Linked DNA regions of Caenorhabditis elegans. The protein of the gene in region 3 interacts with the protein of the main gene of each other region in a pairwise test. Each region holds a gene or a part of one and is shown on either strand. Other genes may lie near its edges.

The links.
Region 1: the proteins of nud-2 (region 3) and cec-2 interact in a two-hybrid assay, tested with the Caenorhabditis elegans proteins (one large-scale study listed by BioGRID).
Region 2: the proteins of nud-2 (region 3) and F20H11.1 interact in a two-hybrid assay, tested with the Caenorhabditis elegans proteins (one large-scale study listed by BioGRID).

The regions. Positions count from the first base shown.
Region 1 is NC_003282.8:1,168,685-1,172,438, reverse strand, and holds the start of cec-2 (Chromo domain-containing protein), read right to left. Parts: upstream 1,732-3,754; 5' UTR 1,730-1,731; coding exon 1,631-1,729; intron 1,463-1,630; coding exon 1,273-1,462; intron 878-1,272; coding exon 822-877; intron 647-821; coding exon 161-646; intron 1-160.
Region 2 is NC_003281.10:6,590,273-6,594,026, forward strand, and holds the start of F20H11.1 (Differentially expressed in FDCP 8 homolog), read right to left. Parts: upstream 1,904-3,754; coding exon 1,627-1,903; intron 1,583-1,626; coding exon 1,434-1,582; intron 1,010-1,433; coding exon 853-1,009; intron 751-852; coding exon 486-750; intron 440-485; coding exon 310-439; exon of another isoform or gene 261-309; intron 1-260. Other genes in the region: let-765 (Protein strawberry notch homolog), read right to left, coding at 2,993-3,081, 3,305-3,529, 3,578-3,754.
Region 3 is NC_003279.8:7,857,617-7,861,370, forward strand, and holds nud-2 (Protein nud-2), read right to left. Parts: upstream 1,802-3,754; 5' UTR 1,788-1,801; coding exon 1,578-1,787; intron 1,493-1,577; coding exon 1,102-1,492; intron 1,053-1,101; coding exon 937-1,052; intron 671-936; coding exon 506-670; 3' UTR 140-505; downstream 1-139. Other genes in the region: apb-3 (AP-3 complex subunit beta), read left to right, coding at 1-130. UniProt on the Caenorhabditis elegans protein: Part of a complex with lis-1, which is recruited to the nuclear envelope by unc-83, where, in turn, it recruits dynein to the nuclear surface and regulates nuclear migration in hypodermal precursor cells.

The DNA.
Region 1 (3,754 bases), on a different chromosome or scaffold from region 3:
CCTTTTGCAGAAAATCTCTATTTTTTGTATTTTGTCGTAAGATTCGGTGTATTTTCGCGGTGTTTGCACAAAAAACCGCCAAAACACCTAATTTGACGCCAATTTGGAGATAATTTCAAATTTTTCTGCATTTTTCCGTAAGATAAGGTGCATCCCGTACCCTTTTCGGTCGATTTTCCGTCAAATTCCCAGTTTCCGGCTTCTTTTCCAAGTGCTCTTCCTCAAAATCGGGGCTCGGCGAGGGCGTATTGGCGCCCAAATTCTCCAAATTTTCCGAAAATCCCGAACTTTCTGGCGATTTCGTCGGCGGCGCGGGCGTGTTTTCGGGTGAATCCTGGGCGACATCGGGCTCCAAATCATCGTCGGACTCCTGTGGTTTTCTGTATTTTCTGATAAGCGAGGATTTGAATAGGGTTTTCAGATTTTGATCTCGATAATGGCGGGCGCCTTTTGACTTTTTCTTCGGCGCATCCGGATCTGTGAACTGTGATCGCCGCGGGACCTTCTTATTGGTAAGTTTGTACTGTTTTTCCAGGGAAATCTCGGAAATTTGAAGAATTGCGTCAAATTTCTCGCGTTGGGTCATCGGCTCGGTTCGTTGTGCAGGTTTCGACGACGATTTTGAGCGATTTCTTGAGCGATTCGACTAAAAATTTGAAAATTTCTGAATCTTACGACAAATTGCGGGGATTTCTGCAATTCCGTCGTCAGATTCAACAATATTTTTACAATTAATTCAAATTTTTGTTAGAAAAGCGTGAAATTCACAAGTTTTAAGTAAAAAAATCCATAAATTTGACAATTTTCCAATAAATTCGTACATTTCGGCTCACATTCCAGCTTCGATCGTCGTCCTTCATGACTTTTGAGCGCCGCTCTGAAAATTTAGGAAATTTATGCGGAAATTAGGTTAAGAATTAATTTGAAGCAGGTTTGAAACACGCTTTTAAAATAAAATATGAAGAAAATCTAATTTTTTTGAGATTTCACTGAAAATTGGAAATTTTCTGCGATAAATTATGGAGAAAACAGGGTAGAATAGGTTTTCTAACAAAATTTATGCGTTTTAAATTGAATTTTGAAGAAAAAAATTCGAAAAACCACGAAAAAAGGTTGAAAAATCTGTTTTTTTCGCGAAAAAATTGTATTTTTTAAATTGCGCGTCAAGTCTCGTGCCCGCTGTGCACGTACACCATGACGCAAAAGTTCAGAATTTTTGCAATTTTCAACGAAAAAATTAAAGAAAATCAAGAAAAAACAACAAAAACTAACGTTTCTGCAAGCATGCTTCGTACTTTTCCTCGTGATCTTTGCGATAATCCAGAATACTAAAGTGATTGAGCCCGAATGGGAAGTCATCCAACGGTTGCCACGTCATTTCAGAGCCCGGAATCGCCCACTTCACGAGAAATTGCAACTGACGGCATGTGGTCGAGTATCTCATGTCCGTTATTTCATCGACCTGAAGTTAAAAATATCAAAAAGCTATTTAGATAAAGAAAAAACGACGATTTTTAACCAAAAACTAGAATTTTTGAATTTCTCGCCAATGCAAGTGCGCGCTACTGAGAAAAACGTCGTTTTTCCAGAATTATACAATATTTCACAGTAAAAATGTGTTCAAACTCACAATGAACATTTCCGCCGTCTCCGGATCATTTTCCGGTGAATTTTTCCTCGCGATTTTCGCTGCGGGACCGCTTCCTTCGGATGATGTCGATTGCGACATTGGTGATGGAAAAATATTTTTAAGTCGATATTTAAGTTCTGCAAGTAGCAATTGATTATCGATGTTTCTAGGGGAAACAAAGGTTTACGCTAATAATTAAAAAAAAGGGTAAAAAATAAATTTATTTTTTAAAAAACATTTTTTCCAAAAAAAAAGTGGAGAAAAATTTGAATTATAATCTAACGAAAAACAGGAAGTTCAAAAATTTTGGCGGGAAATTCATTTTCAATTTTTTCAAAAAAAAAAAAGAAAGTATTTTTGACTAAAATGGGAATTTTTTTAGATTTGCAAAAAAGTAGTAATAAGCTCCGCCATTTTGTGGGCGGAGCCTGATTGGTCACGCCCACTCCTTGGTTAATCCTCTCCTCTAAAAGAAAAAATGGCTCGAAATACAAAAACTTCGATTTTTGACCAAAACCAACAAATTCCTAAAATAAAAAGGGGCAAATAAACTACCATTTTGTGGGCGGAGCCTAAACGGGCAGACAAGTTTTTTCCAAAGTTTGATAATCAAGTTATGTTTATATTTTAAAAAGAAATATTTAAAAGTAATGAAAATATCGACATTTTCACGTGGTGTCAGGCTGTCTCATTGCGGTTTGATCTACAAAAAATGCGGGAATTTTTTACCAGAAAAATTGTGACGTCAGCACACTCTTTACCATGCGAAATCAGTTGAAAAGTCTGCGTCTCTTCTCCCGCATTTTTCGTAGATCAAAGCGAAATGGGACTTTCTGACTCCACGTGCATTTTTCCATTTTTTTTTTTTGCAAAAAATGAATCTGTTAGGCTCCGCGCCTTTTGTGGGTGGAGCCTAAACGGAGCATTTTTTCCGAACTTCGATAATCAAGTTTTGTTTGTATTTTAAAAATAAATATTCAAAACCTTTGAAAGTATCGGAATTTTTTTTCCACATTTTTGTAAAAAAAGGAACCTATTAGGCTCCGCCCCTTTTTTGGGAGGAGCCTAACAAACTACGACAACTTTTGCTCAGTTTCGTCGGTGCGAATTTCATTATTAGAGCTAAGTTCTTCAACCTTCACGTGGTGTCAGGCTGTCTCATTGCGGTTTGATCTACGAAAAATGCGGCAATATCGTTCCAGAAAATTGTGACGTCCGCACGTTCTTAACCATGAAATCAAATGAGCTGTCTGCGTCTCTTCTCCCGTATTTAATGTAGATCAAACCGAAATGAGACATTCTGACTCCACGTGAACCTTTTAAAGAAATTCCTGTTTTTCCAGATTATCAAAAAATAAGTAAATAGATGGACCTTTGGGAGCTCCGTCCATTTTATGGGCGGAGCTTAACAAGGCACACCCACTTTTACTAAGCTACGTCGGCGCAAATTTCAAAGTTTTAGAGAAAAAATTTTAAAACTTTTGAAGAAAATCCGATTTTTCCAGATTAACAAACAATAAGTAAATAGATGGACCTTTGGGATCTCCGTCCATTTTGTGGGCGGAGCCTGATCTCGGGCACGTCTATTTTCCTTCCGAGACCTTTCAAGACATTGACGCAAAACTCAAGTGCGCAAAAAAGTCAGAAAACAAATTTTTGGGCAAAATCAGAACAAAAAAGCAAAATCTCACGTGGAGTCAGAAAGTCCCATTTCGTTTTGATCTTCGAAAAATGCGGGAAAAGAGACGCAGACATCTCATCTGGTTTCGCATGGTTAAGAGCGTGCTGACGTCACAATTTTTCTGGAAAAATATTCCCGCGTTTTTCGTAGATCAAACCGCAATGAGACAGCCTGACACCACGTGAAATCTCCCAAAATTTAGGCCTAAAATCCACTGAGAACCCTCACAAAATGCCAAAAACCATTGCGAAAAAGGTCAATGCGTGACTCATAAAACGTTCAAACATCGAAAAAACAAACAACAACAACAAGATGAAAACCGCAAACAAGAAGAAGAAAAAATGAGAAATAATGCACTAAAAAAGTGAAACGAAAGGGCGGCGACAGGCGAGAGAAGTCAGAGACCCGACGAGAGAGTGTGTAAGAGTGAGAGACGCAGAGAG
Region 2 (3,754 bases), on a different chromosome or scaffold from region 3:
ATGGGTACTTGAAAACATGAGCAAAAATGGAGAAAAATGCTCGTCTTTGCGAACGAACGCGAGCATAAAGGAGGCATTGCGAAAACAATTTATGCTTCTTTTTTTTCACTTATATCAGCTGAAAAAGTTCAAAATATAACTTCAGTTCTTGTATAAGCCACCCCCACTACCCGAAGACATGATTAAGCCACCTCAAGACATTTTCGCAAACACGAGCATTGTGTGCGTCGAAGCATTTTGCTTACACTGCGAATCACCTGTGGGAGAGGGTTGGGGTTCAATTCCCCATACCTCCAGAATCTTTTTTACCTTATGAAATTTTATGAGCGAAAGTGTTGACTCGTTTATATCGATTAACGGTCGGTGGTCTATGATTGCAAGTAATTGCTTGACGGCTCGGCAGACAGGTCGTGGTGTTGAGTCGAGATTGTGGACTATTCTAAAGAAATTTAATAATTTAGGTGTTCTTAAAGCTGAGATCTTACCTGGCAGGAATGCTCCAAACATCATTCCAGTGACAATTTGGGCAAAAAAGCTCTCCACTGTAATCACAAAGACGTGCTTCTTGTTCAGCAACTCCATCAAAGCAAATCGGTGCAGTACATTCAGCACATTGATATTCCTGCTCCGCGAGGCTTCGTTCCTCACACAAATTTGTGTTTAATTCGAATTTTGCTCGAGTTGACAGAACTCCGGCACACACTCGTTTCACCTCTTCCGCGCATTTGTCATGAGCACGCATTCCACAAACTGTAAAAGATTACTGTAATTCAGGATTGAAATGTTTCGATTTTTTCGTGATTTTGGCAAAATATTTTTTTTACTTCGAACGAAGTTAAAGTCTATCAATACCTCTGCATCGCCTCCACCATTGCACGAGCCTCCAAATTGTGTGCATACAAACTTCACAACATGGATTATGTCCACCTCTAACTGGTTGCATTACAAATTCATGTCCTTCAGCACGGCACTCGTCTAATGGAGATGACGTTGAAACAACAGCTTCATCCTGAAAACTTTCACTCTAAATTGGAAAATATAAAAACCATACAGCGTCGAAATAAATTAATTTATGTACTATTCATGGAGTTTTTGATGCACTTGGCCCCTGACGCAAAATTTTGCGGCAAAAACACAGTGCCCGGTCTCGACACGACAAACTGTATTAAATTCGAAAATGCGTGCGCCTTTAAAGATTACTGTAGTTTCAAACTTTCGTTGCTGCAAAATTTTTTCTTACGAATTGCTAAATTTATGAGTGATTTTTTTTCGAATACAATATCGATGAAAATTGTGCAGACAAAATTTTTAACCTACAGTACTCTTTAAAGGCGCACACCTTTCTGCATGTGCAAAAAAAACAATTTCTCCAGACCGGGTACCGTATAAAATAACAAAATTTTGCCTTTAAACCATATTCACTGTCTTCATACCTGCAAAGCCTGCCTCTCCAGTCCCAATTGTACAATTTTGTCGAAATACATTTGTTGTCGAGCTGCTTTTTGTTGCCTATCAAGACAATTCACAAGATTTCCAAGAACATCACGATCCTCCGGGAACTCTGTGTTAGAGACAATGTTGACTGTAATATTGCACATTTTTTACATAAAAATAGGAAACACCAACTAGGTTTCGTCTTTGTCTCTTTCCCATCCATTTCTGTATCTTCTTCATCTATGAGCAGTTCCTTTAGTTTATCTCTACAGTACTCCAATGCAGCTTTTATGCATTCCACGTGGTTTTCTGCTTCATTGCTGCGTCTCCAATCATCCATCATCTCTTGAACTTCTTTATCAATCTCATTTTCATCAATTTTTGAAATAAGCCAAGATGATTTACGGGAACGTGTGGAAGGAGTTGAAGATTGATTATGAGCATCTTCTGATGAACACCAAGAAGACATCTAAAATTTTAAGTCTTTTTGCAATTTTCTTTTTTTTTGTGATTCTCTAGCCAAAAATAATGTGTTACTATGAAAAATCGGCAGAAACGAGTTTGAAATTACAGTACTCTTTAAAGGCACATATCTTCTCGCATAAAAGAGAAATTGTCGTGTCAAGACCGAGTACTGCATTTTTTGCTCAAAATTGCAAAATTTCGAGTCTGGTCAATCAGAAATTTTGAAAAAAAAAACAATTAATTTTGTTTTTTTCTCTATATTATCTTCGTTATACGGAATTGCAATTTTATCAAACTATCTAGAAAAAAAGTATGATTGAAATTGATAAATCTCGACAATTCCAAACAATTCGTTAAATTCATCAACAATTCATTTTATTACACGTCTCAAATAACACAAATGTATCGAAAGGGAAAAAAAGAAAAAAAAAGATCCAGGTAGACCTCGAGAAAAATTCAATTTTTGGACGATTTATTTTTTTTCCATTTTCCCATCAAATTTTCCAGGTCAAACTGATAAATGGTTGGCAGTTTTGAGTTTATGTTCTTATCAAAATTGACCTTGAAACCTGGTGAAATTGATGGGAAGGATCGACCGGCCAAAAATTGAGGAAAAAGATGAAAAATGTATTGAATTGTAAGAGAAAACATGTGTTAAAGCTAGTGAACTCCAAAGGAAAAATGGGGAGGCCTGTTCCGAAATAAAACTTGTCAAAGAATTGTTTTAAAAATTCCTGTAAACCAGAAAATTGGGAAATGGAAGAAAGGGAGAGGAAAATGGAAAATTAAGCCAAAATTAATACAATTAGAAAAGTTATGATAATGATGAGAAGAAAGAGAAACAATGTGGAGAAAATAATTATAACAAATGTTGGTGGGAATTGAAAACTTTAAAAAACAATTCTCAGCGGGAAAGATGAAATGGGAAATTGAAGAAAACCAGATATTCGGTGAAGAAAAATGACAAAAAAGAGAGAATGTGTGGTATCTGCAGATATATATCTGTACTGAAAATGGATAACAAAATGGGAATCTAAAAAAAAAATAAACTGAAAAAAGAAAACCAAATATTTGGAGAGAAAACTGATATCGATCAGGGTTCAGTTTTCACGTAACTACGACCACAATGTGTTTCGAGTTGCTGCACCAAATGGCGGACGTGTGTGGGCAGGACGAGAAGGCCTGAATGATTTATTGATTGGTTTTTATTGTGGGAATAATAGTAGCGTTCAGAAATTATATTCGAAAATGTCTGCGCTCAATCAAAAATCTTGTATTGATAACAGTTCTAACATAAAAATGGAAACAAACAACACATGTTATTGTCGTTGATCAGTAAGTGAAAAAGGCCGTTGATCAAACATCTCTATAGGTTGTTACTTTCCAAAAAAAACCACCAACTTACCAACAATCTTCTGATCCTGTTCAGTTCGTACACGAATCACTTGCATTCGAGATGACTTTCGATCACTTCCAGCAAGTACTTCTTCCACAATTGGCCAAACGGAGAGAACAGAGCCGGATAGCACAAAATAGGTACGAGTACGACGACCGACTTCGCAATAAGTTCCGTTTGATTCGGTTCGACACTTGCCGTAGACGTAGTTGTGTTGACACATGTTAGCAGCAGCTGAAACTCAGAAATTTACAACATGGTTTTCACATTAAAAACACTCACAATCGTATTGCTGCTTCCAAACCTCCTTGGCTTCATCGATTGAAACTTTATGGAAACGTTTACTCAAGTCAGCCATTGTCATCAATTTCGGTGAACGACCAGTGGAAGGACGAGTTATTGCATAAAGACGAGCACCATTGTCCATTCGAATCTTTCCGATTCCATAAACCAACGCAG
Region 3 (3,754 bases):
TTTCACTTGCCAGACACGTTCACGAAAGGATGTTTGTATTCTGACAGTTTCAGAAAAATCGATTGAGTGCTGTTGTGACAACTCGGTGATAGGACGAATGCTGGCGTTCTCTGTCTCCAAAAATTGCTAGAAAGATTAATTCAAATTGTATTTATTTATTTATTTTGCTCACTTTTTCTTGAAATCATTCCTTTACTAACTATTCATGGTGACGGATATATAAATTTTTAACAGAAAAATTAGAAATATGTAGGCACTTTAGAAATTTGGAAAATAATGTGGGTGAATGGCGAACGTGGAACTTATATTGAGCAACAGTAAGGCGGGGCAAATAAAATCGGGGTCTAATACCAATTGGGTGGGAATAAAACATAAGCATGATACAGGATGTCATGGAAAAGAATAATAACGGAAAGAAACGAAGGAAATGATGAAATGGAGGATCCCTGAGTGAATGAAAAGTCACAGTATGCGAGAAAGGTGAGAAAAACCAAAAAATGAAATGTTAAGCCCGTGTCGTTGTAAGATGACTGGAATTGTTGTTAGACGAGTTGTTGCTCACGCGAATCGTCGATAAAATTGAATCGAGCCGCTCGACTTTTGTCATCAGGTCTTTGACGATTCGATTGATGCAAGCACCGGCGCCCGTACCGGTAGATACTCGTTGGCTCTGAAAGCTATGTAAATGTTGGCTGAGAACTATAAATGGGTTAGCAAATATTGTTTTTTCGGTCTATTCTGCATCTAGAGATGCTATCGTTTATAGTTGTGAGGGAAAAAAGAATTAGAACTCGCTGCAAGAGTTTTTCGACTAAATGTTTTTCATTCCGAAATAAGGTGTGAAGCTATTAATTGATCGAAATTTGCAGGTCTTCTTTGAATTAATATTTGGATATTTACTTTCAAAAATCCACCAAAAAAAGAAAATTTACGTACTTTTTCTTGAATATTTTTATTGTCATCGATGCGCACTTCGTCAATTTTTGCAATAGTTTCCTCCATTCGAACATCTTCGTGGTGCTGCACGTCTTCCATGAAAACATCTTCCGAGCCTTAAATAGTACTAGTTATTTTCATTCTCAAAATGCGACAAATACTTACTCATTTTAAACTCTTCTTTACTTGGACCTGGGGATGGCTCGTCCGGCAGAATTTCTGGATCATTCCTCAATGGTTCTACAATCAAACGTGGCCGTTCTGTTGTTCGAAGTTGTTCTTCTCGTAATCTATGCATTTCTTCAGCAGCAACTTGCCGTTCATAAAGCTCACTTTCCAACATTGCTATCTTTTCAATAGCATGATCCAGTTTCGATCCGAGATCAGATGCTAGATATTCCTTATTTCTTTCTGATGTTTCGAGCACATCGTTTCTCTGTTCCAGTTTTCGAATTCTTTCTCTCTGACTTTCACATTGTTCATGAAGATGTGAGTTTTCTCGTCTTAATTGCTCTTCGACTTGTGCAAATTGTACACGGGAATCGTCCTGTCGATCCTTTAAAATTCACAAAATTCAAATTATAGTTGAAAAATTTTATAAAGTTTTTTTTTTCAATTTTAATGTAAAAAATAGTACCAACCTTGTTCCTAATTTGCTCTGTGGTCATCTGCTGTACTCTGGTTTCTGCTTTTTTCAGTTGTGTTTTCAAATCATCCAATTCTGAATCCATCATTTTCTCAATTTCCGCGGAACTTGTCTGGAACTCGTTAAACTCTTCGCGCATTTGCAAGAAATGACCAAGAAGCTCATGGTGCGGTAGTCCGCGAATTTGATCCTCAGACAAATCCATTGATTTCTGATGATCTGAAAATATTAAAGGTTTAGAAAATTGTTCAGGATATTCAACAAAAATTATGAATCGTAGGAAAAAACGTATAATGCCGCCTGTGAACACACTAAACCCTTACAACGTTCGGCCACGTGTGGACAAAAAGTGAGAGAATAGAATGGACATTTGGGAAAGAGAGAAAAAGAGAACTGGTCGAACGGAGGAAAACAGAAGCAACTACGTATTAGTTGCTACCGCAAATGGATGTTTTTTGAGGTTTAACGATGTTGAAGAAAAGTCTCAGTATTCTTATAAATCGGGATATCTAAGGTCGCCATCATCTGATAGACAGCTAAAGTCATCTCTCTGAGGAAAGATGGAAAATCCTCCAAAGTTTTTGACACAAGGCATTCGAGCAAACAAAAAAGTGGGGGTGCTCCGGCTGCTCCGGCCGCCGTGTGCTCTGTGTTTGTCCTTGCTCCCATAGCTCGTCCGCACTTCCGCTACAAAAAGTCGAACAGCTGTGCGAGTAACACCAATAGGCAATAATTTTAAGATCAGATAACCTTTGAAGATTTCAAAATACTTTGAAGGAAAATTTTACTGTTTTTTGGGTTTAATACACTGATGAAGTTCAAAGAAATCTGCTATAAGAAACTAATTCCGAAAAAATTAACACTTTTTGTAAATAGAATAGAATAGTCATTCAAGAAAATCTGTGTTAAAAGAAAAATTGGTAAATTTCTTCAAAGAGTATTCCAGAAATGGCAATCAATTTTAGTAATCGATAATTAAACTTCGGAAATAGAAATTAAATTCATATAACAGTCCAATTTCCCACACGAAATTCAGGTCAAACTCACGATAGGCAGCAGTCGGAGGAATGGGGAGCGGCAATGGTCGCGTATAATAACTGATAACAAATAGAATAAGGAATGCAGAATATATTGAGCATATTATTTGAAAGATTTTCAAGTTAAGCGGGTCAATTTAGTTGTAACGATTGAGACTAATGATGTAAGTGAGAATTTGGAGAGAATGAAATGTATTAACAAACATTTAAAAAATGAAATTCCAAAACGCCTACGCATGACTCATCGAGTTGTTGAGTTCTAATTGGATTAGGTGTGGTGAACACAGAAAATCGTACGAATTAGTGAACAGAAACACGAAACCGGTTGAGATAATAAATGACCAATTTCAGCGGTTAATATAGGATTCACGAATCACTGGGCCACGTCACGAGGAGAGTTGGGGGTGGTATAATCTGTTTTTCGCGTTTTTTCCCGCGCCGCAGTACCACACCTAAATTTGATATTCGAAAATGTAAATGAACGAGAAAAGTGCTTCACATACACACAAACTATACGATTCATCTATTTCCTATTCAGGTCGACATGACACGATCAAGGTTAACATCACTCTGCTGAAGAATTGAATAGTACGAACAGGTGAACAAAAAAAGAAAGCGATCGTCGCAAAAGATTCCTCCACATTGAGAAGCCTATCAAATCAGTATTTGACTTCACTCGTAAAGTGCCAATCGAAGAGCGAGAGCTCTGTGTTGACATTTTGGTGCTCTGACAAACTGAACTGATCATAAAACTTTTTTGTTCGGGGGCAAGCAAAAGCTGAGTAAATACGTGTTTAGCAATGAAAATGCCGAGTTTAGAAACACTCAAAACTGCCAAGAATAGAAGACAGAAATTTCGTAAAAGAGTAAATGGTGCAAAATTTCAAAGCAATTGTTGAAAATTAAAAGAAGAAAAAACATTTAGTTTAAAAGATGGTTTCAAAAATCTGTTACACAATATGTCGTCAAATATGCTGCATTAAAAAACTTGCGTACTAAGAGAACTACAGTAATACATATATTTTCAATGCTCGCCCGGAAAATTAATTGAAAACGTTCAACGAAGAATTTTGAATTTGGCCTAGTGGAAAATAATAATTTCAAAGCCATCTTTTCATGACGATAAATCTCGAAA